2 linked regions of the Alligator mississippiensis genome follow. The protein of the gene in region 1 binds, or shares a complex with, the protein of each later gene. Links are inferred from orthologs where the notes say so. Each region holds a gene or a part of one and is shown on either strand. Other genes may lie near its edges.

Evidence for each region.
Region 2: ODAD1 (region 1) and CLXN share a complex: the UniProt entries of both Homo sapiens proteins name them as parts of the outer dynein arm-docking complex. The link is inferred for Alligator mississippiensis from reciprocal best matches to the Homo sapiens genes ODAD1 and CLXN.

Annotation. Positions count from the first base shown.
Region 1 is NC_081828.1:38,584,356-38,594,552, forward strand, and holds the start of ODAD1 (outer dynein arm-docking complex subunit 1), read left to right. Parts: upstream 1-5,765; 5' UTR 5,766-5,882; intron 5,883-6,334; exon of another isoform or gene 6,335-6,524; intron 6,525-6,992; exon of another isoform or gene 6,993-7,200; intron 7,201-7,766; exon of another isoform or gene 7,767-7,779; coding exon of another isoform or gene 7,780-7,846; intron 7,847-8,807; coding exon of another isoform or gene 8,808-8,907; 5' UTR 8,908-9,807; coding exon 9,808-10,197. UniProt on the Homo sapiens protein: Component of the outer dynein arm-docking complex (ODA-DC) that mediates outer dynein arms (ODA) binding onto the doublet microtubule. Involved in mediating assembly of both ODAs and their axonemal docking complex onto ciliary microtubules.
Region 2 is NC_081828.1:175,510,652-175,521,699, forward strand, and holds the start of CLXN (calaxin), read left to right. Parts: upstream 1-6,667; 5' UTR 6,668-6,713; coding exon 6,714-6,771; intron 6,772-6,878; coding exon 6,879-7,034; intron 7,035-11,048. Other genes in the region: protein FAM133B, read left to right, coding at 2,043-2,129. UniProt on the Homo sapiens protein: Component of the outer dynein arm-docking complex (ODA-DC) that mediates outer dynein arms (ODA) binding onto the doublet microtubule. Seems to regulate the assembly of both ODAs and their axonemal docking complex onto ciliary microtubules.

The sequences.
Region 1 (10,197 bases):
GTACCCCCACGACCCCTACTCCTTTACCCTGTCCCTTAGGCAGGGTTCAGCAGGGCCTCTCCTCCCCCCTTAAGCAGGGACCCAGCCCTGCTTCCCAGATGCCCCCAGCTCCCACTCCTGCACCTGGTTCCCTGTTCCCCCCAGCCCCAGACTGTGAGCCTCCCTCCAGGTCCACACAATCCAGCCCTGACCCAAGGAGGGAACCAGGCTGCTGTGACGTGGAGAAGGGAGGGACACTCCCAGCTCCTCACCCACCCTTCTCGCTGTCCTGCCATGCTAATGAGTTCCAGATGTGACTGTCATGTGAGCACAGCCCGTGGGCCTGATGGTAGTGGAGGCCTCCTGTCTCTACCCCTGCTGCCTTGCTTTCCCTCCACACAGAGGCCAGGATCACTGCTACTGCCCCCACATAATCTCCCCCCATTCCCTACTCCACAGTATGACTAAAGCAGGATTAGTTGATCTGAATGTGCAGTTTCCTGCACGGCATAGGGGTGGGGACAAATGGAGAAACTTGAGGCACAGGCAGCACTAGGAACTGAACAGGCCCAAGAGGCAGCAGGGAAAAGACTAGGATAAGACCCAGGTGTCTTGACTGCCCACCTCTTCTCCTGGACCTGGGATAGAACTCAGGAGTCCTGGTCCTAGCCCCTACTTGCACTCCAGTCCACCAGACTTCACTCCTCTTCTAGACCAGGGGAATCAAACCCATGAATCTTGGCTCCCATCTCCCCTCTAACCTACCAGGCTTCACTCCTCTCCCAGACCTGGGATGGAATCCAGGTGTCCTGACTTTCAGCACACTCTGCTCTATCTGAGAAGAAATGTCTTGGGGGCAGAAGATAGGGCTGGATGGACCTGTGGGGCTGTCCTGGGGTGGGGTGCTGGGTGGATGGGCCCATCTAATTCACAGTAAATAGGCCCTGGCCACGGGTGGATGGCATTTCTAATCAGCAGGGATTTGGAGGCACATGGGGAAGATCCTCACTTAATACAGAGGGGGCAGGGGAAAACAGACCAGAGCCAGAGATATAGCCATCTCTGGGTCAGGGTGTATTGGGGGCTGTGTTTATAGGGAACTTTTTCCCCAATGCTGAGATGCAGCCACTTCTGGGGTGCAGCACTGCACTTTATAAAGGGCAAGAGAAGGATCTGAGAACAGAAACTAGACCCAATCCTGCCTCCAGCTGAATCTGCAAGGAGGACTGAAGGACTCCAAGGGCCATTGGCTTGGATTAGACCAGGACACCAGGGTTCTTTCCCTAGTCTCTGTAGAAAGAACAGGGGATCTTCGGAGATCAGAGAGGTGGGATATTGTCCAATAGGATAAGGGATCCAGGACACGGTGATCCCTACCATTGCCCAGGGACCAGTACTTGAGATGGGAGGTACCCCCTGTTGGATTTCTTCCCTCAGCAGGATGCCCCCACAACCCCCCTACTATGCTGCCTGCAACCTGGCATCCCTAGCATCCTCTACCCACTCCCCAAAGCACAGTGCCCCCCTTCTCAACAGCTTGGCACCTCTAAGCATCCCCTGCCCTTTTCCCTACCCCACAGTACCTCCTCCCAGCTCCCCTAGCACAGCAGCCTGAGCCCTCCCAGGCACCAGGCCTGAGCCCAGGTCCCCACCCAGCCCTGTACCATGAGGAAGCTGCCTGGCGCCTGGCCCTCAGCAGTTTGGCCACAAGACTTTTCCTGCTGCAAACCAAGGCTTCTTTGAAAGGGAAAACAACCAGCCATTGATTCCACAGAGCTGGGCGGGTGGGCTTCAGGATGGGGCAAACTGACTCCCTCCAGGGGGGGCTCCAGCCCCATCTACTTGGGGGGTGGGGGGCACTGTCTGGCTGAGGGGGTGGGGATGGGACAGGGACCTGTCCCTTCTAGGGGGTGCCCGTCTCTGGCCACGTGTATGGTGTCCACATTTCCAGTTGTTCTGCCCAAGGGCTGTAATTGTGGCAGGGAGGGCAGGGTTTGGACAGGGCAGGGATAAGCTGGGGCTGGCTCTCTGAGCTGGGGTGGGAGCAGTGTCTCTGCTGGGGGGTGTGCTATGCTCTGTGCTGTGGGTTTGGGTCTCTGCACTGAGAAGTGGGGGTGCTCTCTTTGTGCTGGCACCAGCTGTGGCTTTATGGAGGTACAGATGCCTCCCAGACGGTGAGGGGGGGACAGCAGCCACCTAGCAGTGGTTTAGGGTGTGTGTGGGGGAGGAACGGATTTTTCTCTCCCCTTTCCCAAAAGCAGCGGGAGAGGGAAGCACCCAGCACCCTACGATCCCCCTTAGCACCTCCCCCTGTGCAAGTAGAGCCAAACTTTGAGACTTTGCAAAAGCACATTCCTCCCTCCCTGACAGACAGACAGATATCCCCATACCCACCCAGACTAAAAGACAGGCACCCCCCACCCTGGGGACTGCAAGGGGCAGCAGCAGGGAGCAGGGTACCTGGGCAGGTCTGGGCACTCCTCTGAGACGCAGGCTGTGTCGCTCCCTCTCTTCTCCCTTCCCCTGTCTCTGCGTCTGTGCCTGAATAAATAGTAACTCCCCCCACACCCCTGGCAGCAGCCCCAGGAGGGAGGGGCCAGATGAGGATGTCCTGTGTCTGCTGGCTGGGGGGCTGGAACATGGGGCCCCCACCCCGAGAGAACACCCTCCCCAGCTGGCACCACATGGAGAGCACTGAGTCCCTGCCCTTGTTGTGTGTCTCCCCACTAGCCCTCCACCCTCTGTCCCCCTCAGACCATTGCATTGCAGGCACTGCCAGCCCGGGATTCCCTGGCATTGCAGGCTTCCCCACAGATTGGCCCAGACTGGGACCTTGGTTCCTTTCCCAATTTTGGGAGAGGAATGAAGTCTGGTGGGTCATAGCAGGAAGGCTGGCAGCCAGAACTCCTAGGTCCTATCCCAGCTCTAGAAGGACAGAGGTGCCTGGTGATAACAAGCAGGGGGGAGAGCCTGAGGTCCATTCCAGCTGTGGGAAGGGAATGAGGGTCTGGTGTGCTGGAGTGGGGGTACCTGGGTTTTGTCCCAGCTCTGGGGGAGGAGTGGGGTCTGGTAGAGGGTGCAGGGAGCTAGGATTCCTGGGTTCCATCTCAGTTCTGGGAAAGGGAGTGAATGTCTGGTGTGCTGGAGCAGAGAGGCTGGGGGCCAGGACTCCTGGGTTCTGTTGCAGTTTGAGGGGCAGCAGGTTGTAGTCTTGTGGATTACCATACTGCTAGGACTCCTGGGATCTCTCCCAGTTCTGGGAAGGGACAGTAATTGGCCACCTACTCAGAAGACAACTGGGTGCTGGTAGTTTAGGACCCCCCAAGACTGAGAATACTTGTCACTGATTGGGGAAGAGCTTTGGAAAAGTGGGGAATATTCAGTTGTCTTCCTGCCTAGAGCGGGGTGCTGAACCCGATGATCTGTGAGGTCCCTTCCAGCCCCTAACAATCTATGAATCTATGAAAAGAGAATCTGGACATTATAAATCCTTCAAATAATTTTGCATCCTTTTGGTATAACACTATAGACTGAAATTGTATATATGTTGGTTGAGGTTGTGGGGGAGGGGTGCACCTCCTCCCTGACTGGCAGAATGAGGCTTGGACCACAACACAGTCCCTGATTGGCTGAATGCTTTGGAACCTTGAATGGGGTGGGTAATTTAGCATTTAATTTGCTGACAAGTTGGAACGTTGAAAATCATTATCTAGGGGGATGTAGCTCAACCTGAGACTGGTTGACAGGGAGGCCAAGTTGGTTGTTCCCTTGGTCTTAAAATAGGACATGTGGTCTTCAAGCCATGGCTTTATGTTCCCCAGCACCAGCAGGAACCTCCAGGTGATGGCTGGGAGGGCGAGCTGCACTCCCATCTGGGGCTCCTCCCTGCCCTTTGCAGGTTTCAAAGCCACCAGCTTCCTTCCACCACTTGGCATATGTATGTGTATGGGGTTCTCCCTAGAGAAATACACCTCATCCCTCTTCAGCAGTTGTTTCCGCCAGGGCCTCTGACTTCCTCTCCTATTTTTGACAAGTCTAAAAAGACAGCCCCTACCCTACAGTCTCCCCAGTTCCTCTAGCAAACTCAGGGCACCAGGGCAGGGAGTTGGGGTGGAGTTCACTGGAGGTAGGAAGGGGCTGGTGGCATTTACTCTCTACATCATGCTTTTTTCAGAAGCTTATAAAGGAGCCACAGGAAACTGCGAGGGGCTAGGGGAGACCCTGGGGAATGTGGGGGCAAGAGGAGAGTGGACCCTAGGACAGATCCCACTGGGTCACCCCAACTTCATAGTTTCATAGTAGCTAGGGTCAGGAGGGACCTGAACAGATCATCTAGCCTGACCCCCTGCCACAGGTAGGAATGAATGCTGGGTTCAAAAGACCCCAGACAGGTGGTCGTCCAACCTCCTCTTGAATATGCCCAAGGTAGGGGCGAAGACCACCTCCCTGGGAAGTTGGTTCCAGATTTTGGCCACCCTAACTGTAAAATATTGCCTTCTGAAAGTGGCAAGGGGCTACTTCAAAGTGTAGCCCCAGAATCCTGGCTGTTCCAGGGAGCTCCCCAGAATGTCTGCCTCTTCCACAGACCTCAAATTGCACCCCTTTAGTGTTGCCCTCCAGGATGCAAAGAGAGCATTAGTCTTAGCTGTTGAACCCCCAAAGACTCTCCAAGCTCTCAAACTCAAGAGAGCCCCCCCCAACACTTCAGGCCCTGTCTGAGCAGGTGCCTCTCCAACCAAACTATCCTTCCCACCTTCCACACTCATTCAGCTGCTCCTCAAAACAACCCCCCCAAAAAAACTACCCCAAACCAGTGCTATGAAGCCAATGGCTGGAGGTTTCACACCATGGCAAAGGAAGAAAACTTCCCATTTTGAATGGAAACCCCAAAGCTCACAACATGACACCTTAGTGGAGTGTCTGATGGGAAGGGCTGGGGTGGACAGGAGTCTCTTGAGCCAGACAGGGATCTCCACTCCTGCTCACCCAGCTGGGGTGAGGAGGCTCTCACTTCCCACCTCTAGAGACACCCAGAAGCAGAAATACAAGAGAAGGAAGTTCCTCCTTGTGGCTGGGGAGAGGTTGCAGCAAGGGAGGGCTGGGAGCCAGGACACCCCAGTTCCACCTCAGCTCTGGGCAGGGAGTGGGGTCTGGTGGGTTGTTAGATCAAGGGAGATGGGGAGCCAGGATGCCCGGGTTCTATCCCCCTGGGTCAGTCTCTTAGCATCCTAGCAGGAGGCTGATGGAAGGGGGCTTCTCACTTGGCAACACCAGGCAGAGCGGTGTAGTGCAGGCCCTCTGAAACCGCACATCCAGCAGTCCCAGCTCAGGCCCGGGGGGGGGGGCAGGGCGGAGACGGGAGGAAGTATCGCTTTCCGCTCCCCGGAAACCCCTGCCCACTCAGATGCCTGGTGCCCTGGCAACTGTTGTGATGGTACAAACAGACGGGGGCAAGGGGGGGGGTCGGCTGTGGTTTGGCAGCTTTCTGGGCCGGACTGTGGTGTGCCGGGGTAGTCCGGCCTCTGACTCACGTGGCTGCAGACCGCCCACAAGGCTTCGTGGGGCACTGCATGCAAATGAGCTGCCCCCGGTCCCGCCCCGGGCACCCAGCCGACCCCTCCCCGCGCCCGGGAATCCCTGAGCAGCCTCCTGCATCTCCTACCCAGCACAGCCAGGCGGGGTGATGCGCATGCGTAATTCGCGCTCCTAAAGGGAGGAAGTGGAAGCAAATGGCGGGAGAAGCAAGGGGCGGGGCCTGTGCGTGGGCGGGGCTTTGGCGAAGGGAGGGGAAGGAGCTGTTGGCCTGGCGCATGGGTATTGTCACGCCTGGGTCCTGATTAGGAGGGATGGAGGTTCCCCCTCCCCAACAGGAGATCACAGTTGGCCTCATCGGGCCTGAGCTGGTGAGATTTCCCTCCTCTCCCCCCGCATGGGGCTGGGCAAGACCTGCTGTAGTCTTGATGTGACCTGCCATAGCCTTGGCATGACCTGCTGTGCTGTGGCCATGCTGTGTCCTGGGGTGGACACTGCCACTCTGTGGCCCAGGGGACCTGTGCTGGGCTTGCTGTGACTCTCTGGGCCATGTGCTGACCCAGGGGGGCTGCAGTGTCCCCCAGCTTGCTGGGGTCCTGTGACTTGGCATCTTCCTGTGGCATCTTGCCTAGATGTGGTCCCATGGGGCTGTGGTGTGATCTGACCTAATGGGCTGTTGGTGTGAAGAGGTCTGAAATGGTTGTGGCACAAGCTACTGTGGCTTGGGGATGTGATGGGACTGGAGCCACCCAAAGTGGTTTGCACATTATTAGGTCTTGGCATGAGCAGATGCGTGGTCATTACCCTTGGCTTTATGGTGCAGGCATGTGACGGGGCCTTGGCATGATCTGGTGGGGCCTTGGAGTGGTCTAATGCTGCAGACTTGTGATGGGGCCTTGGCATGACTGGTGGTGCCAGCTGAACTGAACCTTCCTCCCTGCTTTGAGCAGTGATGGTGCTGCTTGTCCGGACAGAGTGGCCCCTACCTGGCTGCGATGCCCTTTGGGATGAGGGTAGGGTTATGGCCATGCTTGGGCAGCACATTCCCTTACCCCACACTGCAGTCCCCATCTCGTCCCCCCTCCCCACCCCCCGTCATCTGCACCAGAGCTGGGGTGTCCAGTGAGGGGGTGGCATGGGAGTGTGGGACTGAAGGAGGTTCGGGGGGAGGAATTTGGTTGGGACTGAGAGTAGGGGTAGAGGCTGAGGGTTACATGGGTGGAAGGTATATGGATGGATGAGGTTGGAGTGGGGAAGGGGAGAAGAGAGGTCATGGGGGGGGGGGCTAGGGATGGACTGAAGGGGGTGATGGGAACTATGGAGGCATGGGAGAGGAGTGGGGGGTGGGCAGCCAGGGGGGAGTGGCATTGGAGGGTTGTTGGGGTGGGGGGGAAGGGAGGGGAGTTATGGGGGGAAGGGAGGGGGTAGTGGGAGGGGTGTTCAGCCCACATGCATTCTCCCCTGCCTGGCTCCGCCCCCAGGCTCCATCCAGCTCCTCCATAGGCTGAGATACTTTAACTTCCTGGAGACTGTAACTAACAACTGAGTTGGAGGCGGGTTGGAGGAGTGAGTGATGCAGAGACAGGGAGCAAGTGCCAGAGTCCCCTGCACCCTTTGGAGGCTGTGACCTCCCCCTCCCTCTGCCTGTGCCTGCTTGCGGCCTTCAAGGACCATCCAGAGGAGACCCAGGTATCCCCTGCTCCAGGTTCCTGGGAGGGCAGGGTTAGGAAGGGCTGAGAACAGGATTGCCCCATACCCACCCTGAGCTGACACCTTCTCCCTAAACTAGCCCCTTTGACTCACACCAAATCCCCAGCCCTCTCCAGAAATCACCCTCTCCCCAAAACAGCCCCCCAGCTTTCCTACCACCCTGATCTGCAAGCACCGTGTGAACCAGCTGTTATTTTGCCCCAGTTTCACCCCCAATGCTTCCCCTTCCCTCAGCCCAGCCCAGCTCCTTTAGCTTCTGTATTAAGTTCAAGGGCACAGCTCCCTGGGAGCACAGGGCTTGTGAGAGGGGTTGTTTTTACCTACTGTGCTGTGTCCCAGAAGCAGCCACCCTCTGAGGCAGTGTAGAGAGCTCCAGTGTCAAACCAGACGCCTCTGCTTGTCTGCCCCACATGTGATGCCCTGTGCTGCGTGGAGCACCCTGATATAAACCCCCGTTAAGCTGCCCTTAATGAGACCAGCAGCCTGGGAATAACTCCACAGTGCCCAGTTAATCTCTGTCTCCCTTTTTTGTGCCCCAACATCAGCAAGGAGGAGAAGATGCCGCTGCACCGCTCTGCCTTGAGCAACCGCTCTGACAGCAGTGACTTGGACCTGGATGGCATTGGTAATGGCTTTGCCGCAGGACCTCTATTGGGCCCTGTCCTGTCACATCCTGGTCCTAGGGACATGGTGCCCCATCTCTTAATTCTCAGCCCCTGAGGGCCTCTGCACACCACTACCCCTTTCCATGCTCCTCCCAGCTGGCCCCAGACAACCCCAAGATTTTAATTTGGCAGCCAGCCCTTGCCTCATAGGCCATGGGGTACCCGTACATAACCTCACCACACCAAGGCACCCCATATCCATACCCCCAGCAGGACAGACTGCCCTGCATTATGTCTTGGATCCACACCTACTCCCCCTAGGTCTGTGGCAATCACCTGGGTCAGGGGCAGTTCCTTAGCACCCTTAGGTGGGTATTGTGTCCCTTGCCAGGTCCCCGGGGTGGTCAGAGTGGGAGAAGGGCTTCCAGAGCCTGGTGGGAACAGCTTGGGGGTGGAAGAATATCTGGTGGGAGGAGTCAGGGAATGTTGTGGGGGCAGCACCTTGATAGAATATCTTGGGGTCTGGGCATAAGGTGTTTGCGTCATGGCAGGTATCATCTTGTGATGTCATGGGCCCATGTTGTGATCTCATGGGATCTTGGCATGACATCCTGGAGCCTTGGCATGAGGAAGTTATGCAGTGGCAGACAGGGCCTTGTATAATGTCATGGGATTTTAATGTGCCGTCATGTGGGTTGCCTGTGAGAAGGTTAGCATGTGGAAGGCATGGCCTTGGTTTGATGTCATGTGGCCACAGTGGGCCTTGGCATATCATGGGTCTTGTGTATGAGGATTTGGGCCATGATAGGTCAGGGCCTTGGTGTGATATCATGGGGTCTTGGCATGACATCATATGGCTGGGCTGCAAGGAAGTTGGGCCACATTTTGGATGTGTGGGAGGGGCTGGGCCATGGCAGGCAGGACTGTGGCTAGAGCCCTTCTCTGATGCCCCTCTCCCTGTGGCTTTTCCTGGCCCTTCAGCTGAGAGCGAGCTGGCCAAGCTACAACGCCAGTTCCGCCTGCTAGAGGGTGACCGCCGTGCCTATGCCCAGGAGTCGCAGGAGACCATCCGCAGGCAGCTGTATGTACCCCTGGGTGGGAGGGGCCCAGTACCATACCTGCAGGATCAGGTGCACAGGACATACACATGCACACACACACTGTGCCTCCCATATGCTGGGCAGCACAGATACACTCCCCCCTAGAATGCTGATATATCACTGACATCACGCACATTCCCCTAGCAACTCACCTGGAACCAGCCCTCTACACCAGGCTGGGTCACTGCACTGCACTGCACTGCACATAGGCACTTACACACACACACACGCACACACACCATCACACTTACACACCCAGAAGGTCACACAAACTCACGTGAGATCTTTCACATAAGATCTGCTGCTCACATACCCTCACCAGGTCTCATGCATCAGTCTGCACGCTTACCTGCAGGCTCACGACCAGGATCTTTCACACACAAGACTATAGGGACATCAGGTGCACACAACCTCCCATGCACTTGCACTCACAAGACTGCATGCTCAGATTCATGCATGAGGTCACATGCACAAAATCTTGCGAACACTCAGTGACAGGCCTGTGACACACAAGATCCCACACTTGTGCACAAGATCACATCTGAGATCTTGTACTCACATGCAGGATTGTATATGCACAAGGCTCCCCACACCCACTCAGCCACAAGACCATAGATGCACAACAATTTGCAATCTCGTAAGACTGCATACACACAGAAGCGCACACACAGGCACACTTGCACAAGATCACCCACACGCTTGATGTGGGATCTCTGATGCACAAGTCACACTTGTATACAAGACTGCACACATGAGATCACACTCATAAGATTACATGTGCATGAGATCACTTGGACTCAAGATCCAAAGCCCACCAAATCTCACCCTTGTGAATAAGCTCACATTCACCCACATGGGTGGTCAACTCAGGTATCTGACACATGGCATTCTGTGCCCACATGGGGACTCCATGCTCACAACTGTGCACTGAGACTTCCTTGCCTTGCTGGGCACCTGGTAGTCACAACATCCTAGATCTCAGCACAATCCACCAGTTCACTGCTGCCACACACCTAGCATCATTACTGTGCCCTCTCCTTGTCTTAGCCCTGGGTCCCCCTTCCTCTTCTCTTTCTCTCTGTCGTGCCTGGCCCTCTCCTTTTGACCTCGTCATCCACCAGTGGCACAATCTGGCACCCCCTCATATCACCAGGAGTCCCTCCCTGCCCCACTACCCCTGCCTGCCACCCATTGCAGCTGGCCAGTCCTTTGTTTTGGTCAGGGCTGAAATCCACAGGCTGGAGAAGGAGCAGGAAGGGCTGCTGAAGGAG
Region 2 (11,048 bases), about 140 Mb from region 1:
GCAGGCATCCTAAAATTCACCATAGCCCTGGCCCTGCGCAGTTCCAGGGGCACAAGCACCCCAGTGTCCTGCCACCACTGTCCCTGCCAGGGTGGGGCAGGACCAGGAGGCAGGGGGATCCCAGGACGGCTCCAGCTGCTGCGCACCACTTGTTCGGTGGCAGTGCAGTGGCTCTGCCCTGCCCCAGCTGGGTGAGCAGCAGGAGGACACAGCTGGCCCAGAGCACAGCCCCAGCCCTGCCTGCACCACACAGATCTGGGGCCATATGCCCCCCCAAGCCCTCCCAGACGGGCAACACACAGTGGCAGGAGCCATCTCACCCCCTCCCTGTGCGCCCCCCCCCCCCCCACTAGGGCAGCCCCTATCCCAGCCCCAATCCCTCTTTCTCTGTGGGAGCATTGATCTGCCCCACCCACGCCTCACCACAACAGACTTACCAGCTGGAGGCAGCTGTGTCCAGTATCGTAAAGTCAAAACCCTGGGGGGACCTTGAAACTGTTGTAATTTACAACGGTCGTAGGTGCCATTTGTCATAACTCAAACAGTCATAAGTCTAGGACTGCCTGTATAGCATACATTAGGTTACTATCATAGATTCATAGATGCTAGGGTCGGAAGGGACCTCAATAGATCGAGTCCAACCCCCAAGATATTGAAGAGTATCGGTCCAAGGACCGAGCCCTGCGGGACTCCACTGCCCACACTCTTCTGGGTCGATACCGACCCATCCACTACGACTCTCTAGGTGCAACCCTCTAGCCAATTTGCCACCCACTGGACTGTGTAGTCATCTAAGTCACAGCCTCTTAACTTGTTTACCAGTATGGTGTGGGATACCGTATCGAAGGCCTTCCTGAAGTCTAAGTATACAACATCAACCCCTACTCCTGCGTCCAGGCATTTTATAACCTGGTCATAAAAAGAGATTAGATTAGTCAGGCATGATCTACCTGCTACTAACCCGTGCTGGTTTCCACTCAGCATAATTTGTCCTGCCGGGCTCTCACAAATGTGAGCCTTGATAATTTTTTTTAAGACTTTGCCTAGGATGGAGGTGAGACTGATTGGCCTATAGTTGCCTGGGTCCTCCTTCCTCCCCTTCTTGAAAATGGGGACCACATTGGCCCTTTTCCAGTCCTCCGGGACCTGGCCCATGCGCCACGAATGTTCAAATATTACCACCAGTGGCTGTGCAATGACGTCAGCCAGTGCCTTCAGTACCCTCGGATGGAGCTCATCCGGGCCTGCCGACTTAAAGGCAACCAGTTCCTCCAAGTGACTCTGCACCATCTCAGGGTCTACGCATGGCAGTCTGGTATCCGTAAGCTATGTATCAATGTAGCTTAACATATTCATCGTTCTTATTGCATAACATAGGACCTGGTCTTGTATGCCTCACTCAGGCAGAATTTCATTAGGAATTCTTCCTAAGTACAGGAGGATTGTTCACTTAACGTTGTATATTATGGTGCTGAGAACACTAACATCAGGGTCTGACCCTGCTGCCTTTGCTTTAGCAACTGTGTTTTTTTTGTCTGAGTTTGTTACCACAAATTAAGGTGCAAATATTGGAAGTCAAAACCTAATACAGTTTAACTGAGTTTGTCATAAACAGAAAATCAGCTGAAATGTAATTAATGAATAAATAGATAATTGTGGTAACATAGGGCTTCTTTTCCACTCTCGCATATGTGAGATGCCATTGTTTCTCAAGTGGTTAGTTTATTGATTTCTCAAATTCATGAAGCATTACTGTGACTTACAAGATAAGGAAGCAAATGGTACTGGCTATTTCACACCTCTTGGGAAATCAGAATGAGCTAAATTTGAAAACAATAATATTCCATCTTTTTGTAATGCTTTGCATTGTCTTTTCCTGCTTTGTAATGTTATTGTATCATTGATATTTAGATTTTTATAGTAATCTTATTGTAAATGATTTTGTATTAAACTCCATAAATGCACCTGCACCTCTTCATTACATTATTTTTTAAATTGACTTTAACTCATAAAATAACTTCCATTATTTAACTGTTTTTAAGGATAAAATGAAAAAGAGAAAGAAGCACAAGAAACATGGTAAAAAGAAGAAAAAGAAGACTGCTGGTTCAAATTCAGATTCTGAATAACATTTAGAAGTACAAGAATACCCTTTCAACAAAAGTGCAATGACTAAAGGAAACTTCAACTGTGAAATTATAGCAAACTTTACCAAACTGCATGAATTTTCCTGTGTTTTAGAAATACTCCTAATCTCTCAATAGCCGGACAGATGCTGCTGCACCAGAAAAGAACATTGTTATTGCCTGCTGCTTAATACATGGGGTACAGCATTTTTTTAATTCCAGTAGCCAGCGCTAGATATTTGAAATCATAAAAGATGATGGTTCAGCTGATATGTAAAATATTGGAAAATAAGTGAAACTTTTTAGATACAAAAAGTAGTATTTTAAACTCTAATTTTTAAACCAGCAGAAGCATAATCCAGGATTCATCCTGAAGATGAATTTAATTCAATGGAGCTGTTGAAAGTTAGTGACTGATGTTTCTTTTGAAATGGGAATATAATGGTAACATTCTTAAACATGTTACTTTTGTAGAAATGTTTACTGTACTTCTGTCCTTTTACTTTTTTATGTTGAGGGGGGAGCTACTATTTTGACTAGTTGAATAGGGTGCCTTTGATCTTTCTAAATCCCAGCTATTTTAATCAGTACAGCAACTATGCTTCCTCGGGAGGTCAGAACTACTGTCAGCAAGCTGTTCCTGAATAAGCAATTCTGGGCTTCTAGCATGTGCTTCGGCATTAAGCAAGAGCAGTGACATTTTGCAGCATAACTAACATGCAAAAATCAAGGAATTTACCTCCACTTTGAATTATGCTGAATACTGTGTTACTAAATATGCATTACATCATTTAAAGTAATTTTGAATTTTGTTGAATATCTTTGGCAAACACTGGTAGTTTTTTTTCTTTTTGCCTTGCCATTAAGATACTTAGAATTATTTTGCATGTTTGTACCATTTTTTTTTAAATTAACAATATAGAGGTATTCAGTTATAACCAGTGATTATTTTTTTATGAATTTGTTCCAGGTGCAGAGTTTCATGTATGTATTTACTTATTCTTATAGTTCATTGTTGTGTTTGAGTGCACACTTGCTGAAAATTATTTAGCATGTAAAAAGCAGGGTTTTGATATTTAAACAGCTTCATATTGAAGCTGATTTTACTCTAGGCAAGTTCAGTGACAGACCTGTTATGCAGCTGTGTCTTGTTATATACAACTACTGCCAGATTCTCAGTAAAGATACCATTTAAAAATTTTGTCTTTATATTTTTGTGCTGCAGAATTGTAGGGTATTAACATAAATTGTCTAGGCTAATTTACTTGCATTAGCAGCTATTTCATAAACAAATAGAAAAATGTTGATAAAATAGCAAATACACACTCAAAATCCAAAAGGAATCCTTAGGTTTTCTTCTTATAGATGAAGTTCTTTCTCTCTTTCAGTGAAGTCCCTATTGCTGGTTCTGTTCTTGCCTTTCAAGAGTAGGAAAAAATGTGAATAATGATCCACATATTACCCTAAGTACAAATGGTATGTACTAACCATGAAAAGTTTAATACTTTAAAGCCAAACATTTAATTACCACAACATTTTAATATCTCTTGTTAAATGATTAATAATTTGCAATTCATAAACAAAAAGTGGTGAGGGAGACTGGGAAGGAGTAATATTTTACTAGTGTTCTGTCAAATACATTTCTCTTCAAGCAGGTGATTGAAATGTTCTGGTTTTGTCTTAAAATGCAGACTATCACTGTTAATAATGTCTTAGAAATAAAATTATAGTCAGCTAGGTTTGAAAACTGACAATTTCTACAACTATTAGGTCATTATTGGGAAAGAATTCAAAGAATGGTAGAATGATCATTTTATTTCTCTTTTTTTTAAATCACTGGTTTAAATCAGCTTTGAGGCTTTGAAAAACTATTGTGAAAATTGTGCTATTACAACTTTGAATTAATTACATTATAAATACTGCAAATGGAAAGATCATATTTGAATTTTACACAACTGCTAGAGGCAAAAAATATGTATCATTGAAAACAAGTGTGCAGATGCTACCAACACATAAGCAAATACATAATGTTACTCATACAAATAGTCTCATTTACTTAAGCTTCCTAGACGTGTGCTTTCAATACAGCATGGACAAAAATGTTTGCAGCATCAAGGTCTTATATTGTATATATTAATTAAAAAAATTTAGTGGCATAAAATTGTTGTCACTTCAAAACCAAATTGCTTTAGTATTTAACACTGAAAAACTCTGATTTTTTTTTTGTCCATAAATAAATCTATTGTGAGCTACATGCGCACACACGGATATGTGTGTATGTGTACAATAATATGTGTGTGTATTAAAATATCCTCCCCGCCTCCCAAAATATAGGACCTAACATTTGGTTACTAAGAGTGAAATTTCTGATTTCTGTCTCATCTTTGCTCATTACATCAGGAGGGTCACGTTTGCAAAAACAGCCAAGACTACTTTTCTTTATTAATTTTGTGCTCAATTTTTGTTCTTCTCCCAGCCAGAATGCTAATGAGGCCAGCATAGATGAACATTTTAACTGAATTTTTAGCAGATAAAAAAAAATCTGAAATTGTACTAGAAATTAGAAAAATAATTTAAGGGTCAAGACAAAAAGACTATAGAATAAAAGAAAGTAAAATGTTATGCTTGTTTAAAATATTTTAAGTGTGTTTTTTATCCAACTTGCTTCAAGAAGTAATAAGGTAGTAATTTATAAAGTATTTTAATAAATGGCTAGCTTTATGGGTTTCCAAAAATACTCTTAGAATTTTGAAACTAAATTATTGCCTTTGCTCAGTTTTGTCCTTTTACATGTGATAAAGATGTGTTTTGTTCTGAACACGAATCTGTTGCCTTCTCATACACAGTAGCATTCTTGATGGCTCATTTCTAAAAAGACTCAGAGATCTCAACACTGGTTGAATCAGTACGTATTAAAAGTTCCTTATCCATTAAAGTAATTCCTTTTAAGTGTGGCTCTGGTAACAGTATTTTCAGTTAATGTATGCTGTTCCTGCTGTCTACCTGTGAAACAACATGAGGAATAAGTTCGTTATGCCCTGCATATTTTTTTTTCTTTGGAAAGAGGTATGGTTCGTCATGTTTAGGCCAAAAGGCAGAGCAGGGTCGTACTTTATATATCAGGGATTCTCAACCTGGGTGCCACAATACTCTGAGGTGCTGTGGAGTCCTTTTTAAGGGTGCTGTGAGGTGTCATGTAACATTAGTACCATTAGGTGTGCAAACATGACTCAAAATAAACCAAGAGATTTCAAAAATAAATCCATAGCGTCAAAAACCTTCTTAGCTGTTGTGGTCTTTCTGAGTACTTTGCAACAGAAAAATTGTTCTATTTTTCTGTAGTCAAAATAAGTGAAAATGAAGAGGTGGCATTTTTCAAGGAGGGGCTTAACGAGGGATGCATTGAGTCTAAAAAGGTCAAACCACTACTGTTATACGCTAACTTGTTCAGAGAGGTAGAAGTTTTTGTAGGTTACAGCCTACTTGGTAATTACTAGGTAAGTTAAGCGTATACATTTAAACAGGTTAAATGATTTTGTGACATCCCTGTGTGCCTAAACCAGCTTTCCCTTGTGTGTTCTTGGATGCTAAAATAAAAATGACCTGACTATCAGAGATGCTGAATACCTGTGTAAACACATCACCTGCTACAAGAAGTTGTAAGTGTACAGACTTCTGAAAATGTATATGGGTATTTTATATACCAAACCCTAGAGTGAAGAACTTCAAATCTGTAAGCTAACCAAGACATGATGAGAGTAGTCAGTGTGTCATATATACACCGTGATTCTGCATTTTGAATGTGGGTGCCTGCCTTAGCAGAAGTCCCAGGCTATTACATTTTGAGAGTGTAGAATATTCTTTAAACAGCCTAGTCATACTGTAATACAAGTAGGAATGACAAAAAGAGGAGGTGGATGCTAGTAGTTGATCTTAGAAAGTGCTAGGCTGCTCTTTTACTCCTGCTCCGTACTGAACTCCTTCGTTTTGGAAGAACTAGCGGGCTTGTGCCTGTTGGGTTGCCACCGCTGCTTGCCTCCTACTCCGGTTTGTGCCATATTTCAGCCAGAACCTTGATCGTGGCAAAGTATTTTATTCTCGAGCAGGCCGAGCTTGGTTGAGTTGGAGGTATTAAACCTGAAGCAAGGACTTGTGAGCTACAGCTACTAATTTGCGGTGAAAACCTGGAAGACGAGAAGGGTAAGTACAGGCAAGTAACTGTCTGCAGCGGTAAATGAAGCCCGGGACTTGTCGTCGACCCCCCTTTGCAGGGCTTAGACTGGCGCCGGGGGTTGTCCCGGCTCGGATGTGTTCGGACTGTGCTGGCCGGGGCGTGGGGCACAGGGACGCGCAAAAGCGGGGCAGGGGGTGTTGAGGCTCGATAGGCCCCGAGACTCGTCCGGAACCGGCGGGAGTCCGGCTGTGTCCACCTGCCCGCGGGGCCAAACTGCGCATGCTCAAGCTTCCGGCTATTCAGCCACGTGGCCTCGGGCCCCTGCGCTTCTTGCTCGCTGATTGGCTGGTGCCATTCCCGTTGCTGCGGTAACCGCGCGGCGTCCCGCAGCAGCTGCCGGGCCCGGCGGCGCCATGAACAGGAAGAAGCTGCAGAAGCAGGCGGAGGCGCTGAACCGCAGCGCTAGGCATTGTGAGTCCCGTCCCCCGCCCCCTCCCCCTCCCAAGGGCCGCGGGGGCGGGGGCGCGTGGCTTTCCCCGGCCAGGCCGTGACCCGTGCCGCGCTGTGCCCGTGCGCAGTCCGTCGGCCCGAGGTGGAGTGTCTCATCCGGCTCTTCCACACGCTGGTGCCGGAGGCTGGCGAGCGCCGCGGCGCCGCGGGGCTGGACCGCAACGCCTTCCGCAGCGTCCTGCACCTCACCTTCGGCATGACCGACGACATGATCATGGACCGAGGTGAGGCCGCGCCCCAAGGGGGATAGGGTAGGCAGTCCCCGCCCCCGCGCCGGGCGCCCCAGCCAGCAGGTGATTTCCGGGCCGCAGCATCGGCCCGCCCCCCGACAGGGAGCCTAGGCCGGGTCCCCCCCGCCGCAGAGGCGCTGCGGGGATTCCGCTCCAGCGGCTCGAGCACGTGGGGAAACTTCAGGGTTGGGCCCCAGGGCTGCTCTGCACCAGGCGGCCTCCCTTTGTCCAGCGAGGTGGCTGGCTGAGCCGCTTCACTAGGCCACCTTGGAGAGCCTGCGGGCCAGAAAAGCTTCAGAACTGTGGTGTGTGATGCAGTCACTTAAAGCCTCTGGAGATTTCCCAGGTTGGCCTCTTCTTCTTCAGGTGTGCTCCTGCAAAAGCACTGGCTCCTGTCACCAAAGAGCTTGGATGTTTGTAGCTGAAAATGGAAAGAAGCTGCATGTAAACGGTTCCTGTAGTGGCCCAAGGATGCTGCAAATATGATTTTGGCTGGGAGGAGGTGCGGTGGTGGCAGCAGTATACGCAGCTGGAAATGTTTCTTATGACATAGGCTGCATAGTGACAAAGTGTTATAATAGTCTTTCTAGATGTCAGTTTACTGCCCTTTAAAAAGCTATGTCAGCTCTAAGGATGGCCACTTTCCTCACACAAAAGAGATGTGGAAAGGATCATGTGCAGGCGCCGTCCTACAGAAAACAGTTCATCAGAGGAAGGTGCTGAGCAGATGCTGCTGTGTTGACAATGATTCCCACCACTTCCCTAAGGAAACAGTTGATAAATGGAGTGATCGTGCTTTCTCCAGTGCTGACAGAGGTATTAGTAGAAAAGAGAGTGGTAGTGAGCTGTGTTAGTCTAAAGTCAAGCAGAAGTCAGGGTAGAGGTGCACCTTAAACTAATTAAATTGGAGATGGATAAGCATCCCTGAGCCTAAACTTCATCTGATGAAGTAACCTTAGGTCCACAAAAGGATCTTTTAATCTATTAGTAGAAAAGGCCGCTGTTGTCTCTGTAGTGGGACATGATATACACTTGTAAACAAACGTTGCTGCCCTTAGTCTTCAGCTCTGACATGCTGGAGACAGGCTGTTTGGCACTGCAGTGTCCGAACAGCTCTTCTGGAGCAGGGGTACTGAGAGCAGACTGATATGGCAGTCTTGCTGAAACAAGTTAGGTTTCTATCCTTGACAGAGAGGAGTGAAGGATAAGTGTTAATGCACTAAAGTTTACTTTCTTCCCCAAACCGTAGTGTTGAGGGTTTGGCTGCTTGGGAGGGGAGCTACTGTACTGGTATATAGGTAGAGTGACCATAGGTCCCACTTTGGCCAGGACACTCCAGGATTGTGTAGCTTGGTCCCAGATGGTTGGCCAGAAGTTCCAGGCCAGAGTCCAGCAGGGAAGTGAAGCAGCATGGTGAGCCAAGGCAGGTGGCTAGACAGCAGCAGCAGTATGGTCACCTCACATATAGGGGTTTATAGCAGGGTACTGAAGCAGCTTGAGCCTGGCGCTTCCCAACACCAAGTCACTAAGGGGAGATTTCCAAGGAGGGGGTGCCAACCTGGATCTAACTCTTCTCATCACACGGAAGTGCTAGGGAGAAGTTTCAGAGGAGAATAAAGTTGTAAAGGCAAAATTAATAGACTCTTAATTGTAGAGAGCTTTACTTTATAGCCAAAGTCATATTTTCATGTAATTTGTGTGTTTTATTTTAATTTTACTGCAACATAACAAGGGTGATGCTGTTGCTGTGACTATCTTGCAAGTAATTTTGAAGTGTTAATTAGTAAAATGAAAAGCAAAATAGAAATGCTTCATACTATCAAGGACTGCACTAATTGAAAAGTTACAAACAGCAGCTTGTTACTAGTTTGCACATGAAAGAAATACTGGTTTATGCAAGACGGGAAAGTTGCCAAAACGTACACTTGAAGAAAAAAAAGAAAAGGAAAAAAAGGTGAGCTAGATTTCCTGATTGATGTTCTCCCCTGCAGCCTAAAACAAACCATTCTAATTGAAGTCTTTGTATGCCTTTAATGCTGGCTCTTCCTTTTAGGCTGTTATGGAATATGTGATGCTTTACTAGAGTGCTGTCAAGCCAGCAAAATAATGTGTCAGATAGCAAGATAAAATGGCTATATCAGCAGGGAAGATCTAGATTTATCTTATTTGATATATTCAGGATTTTAAATCTCTTAACTAGGCCTTTGGATGACTGCCACGTATGAGCATGTAAGTTATCACTAGGCAGGCAAGCTGGGAACTTAAAATTCATCAGCTATTCTGCAGTAACAGTTTAAGCATACTCTGGTTTCATTAAATAAGCTGCTTTGCATTCACTGGGCACGTCCACACATGCAAGCACGTGCACTTGCAGCTCAAATAGAAGCAGTGCAAATTTGAGCCAGGGCTTTTTGCTTCAGCACACGTGCTGACATGCACTTTGGTGTGGAGCAAAATAACCCTGCCTGGCTCCTCCCAGATCTGCAGCCAGGGGGAGCTAGAGCCTGGGGCCAGCACCTGTGCTGTCCCCAGCAGTAAAGAAAGCTGCCCTAGCAGAAACCTGGCCCCAGCAATATATAAAGCCGCCCTGGCAAGTAGCTCAGGGCTACTCGCTGTCAGGAGCTTCTGGGGCCCAGCCAAATTGGTACCTGGAGACACTGCCCCTTGTGCCAGCTGGACTGCTGAAGCAGCCCTGAGAGTTCCCTGCACCTTTACCCACTGCAGGGGTCTAGCAGTGGGGGCTGCTGCCTGGCTGTGACCTGCTGCGTACCTGCCAGACCTGGATAGGGACTGCACAGCCAGTAGAGGCATCTGCCCCTCTGGGCTAGCTGCCAGTGGACTGTGGTTGCAGGGTTGGCCTCTGTACGGCACTACTGCCCTGTGTGCCCCTTGCCCAGCTATCTGGGCAGCTATCGCTCGGAAGATGTTCCAGGTGTGGTGGCCTGCTTTGAACTGTCAAAGCATGTCCTCCTGGCCCCATTTGTCCAGGAGGTCAGCCACAGCCAGCTGGGTCCAAGGTGCCAGCTCTGAGAAAGTGCCAGGACCCTGCTGGCCTCCCTAGCAGGAATTCTGGTGTTTCCTACTGGAAAACTGAAAAATCCCTGATAAACAAAATCCAAAAGTCACTCTGTAAAATACCCCCAAATCCACGTTCCTCCACAAGTAAAACAAAAGACCACTATAAAGAGAGAGAGAGAGAGCAAGACAGAGACAATGATCAGTTGGACAATGTTTTATTGATAGATCTACAGTGGTAAAGCAAGTCTCTTATCATAATAATAAAGTGAACTCTAAATACAGATTTCATGAATACACGTTTTGCTGCACTCCCACAAGGGGTCCAGCCCCAAACAAGTGGTTCAGCCCCCTAAAGGGGGGTTCAGCCCCCACACAAGGGGTACGCCCCCCAATGGGGCCAAATGGCCCCCCGCAGAGGCTATCACACCCCTGCAAGGCCCACATGCCCCCCCAACTGCTGCCCCCCTCAGCCCCATCCTGCACCAGTTGCTGCAGCCCCCCCAATGGCTGCCCCACCCAGCTCCACCCCCCCCAGACCTCCCAATGGCTTTCCCAGCCCCCAATTTGCACCCCCAGGCCCCCATGGCTAACCCTACAACCCCAGGCACCATCACAAAACCCCCCAAAAAAAGCCTCTGCTTACCTTTGAAGCGGGGGGGGGGGTGCGCCAGGGTCTCCTGGCAGAGTTCCCCCCGATGCAGTACCAGGACAGTGGGGGGGGCAGCAGGGCCCGGACTTGGGCCGCTGGGGCTGTCACCCTGCCCCGCACTGTGTGGGCGGGGCCTCAGGCAGCCAGATGGCAGCTGAACTGCTGGTAAGTGCCGGGTTTTGTTGTTGTTGTTTTGTTTTGTTTTTTTAAGCTATGGGGGGGGAGCAGGGATGGTGGGGCTTGGGAGGATGGGGTTGGCCAGGGCAGGGGTCGGGGGTCTCAGGGGGGAGGGACTGGTGGTGGGAGGGGCCAGCCCTGGAAGGGGTCTGGGGTCTTGGGGG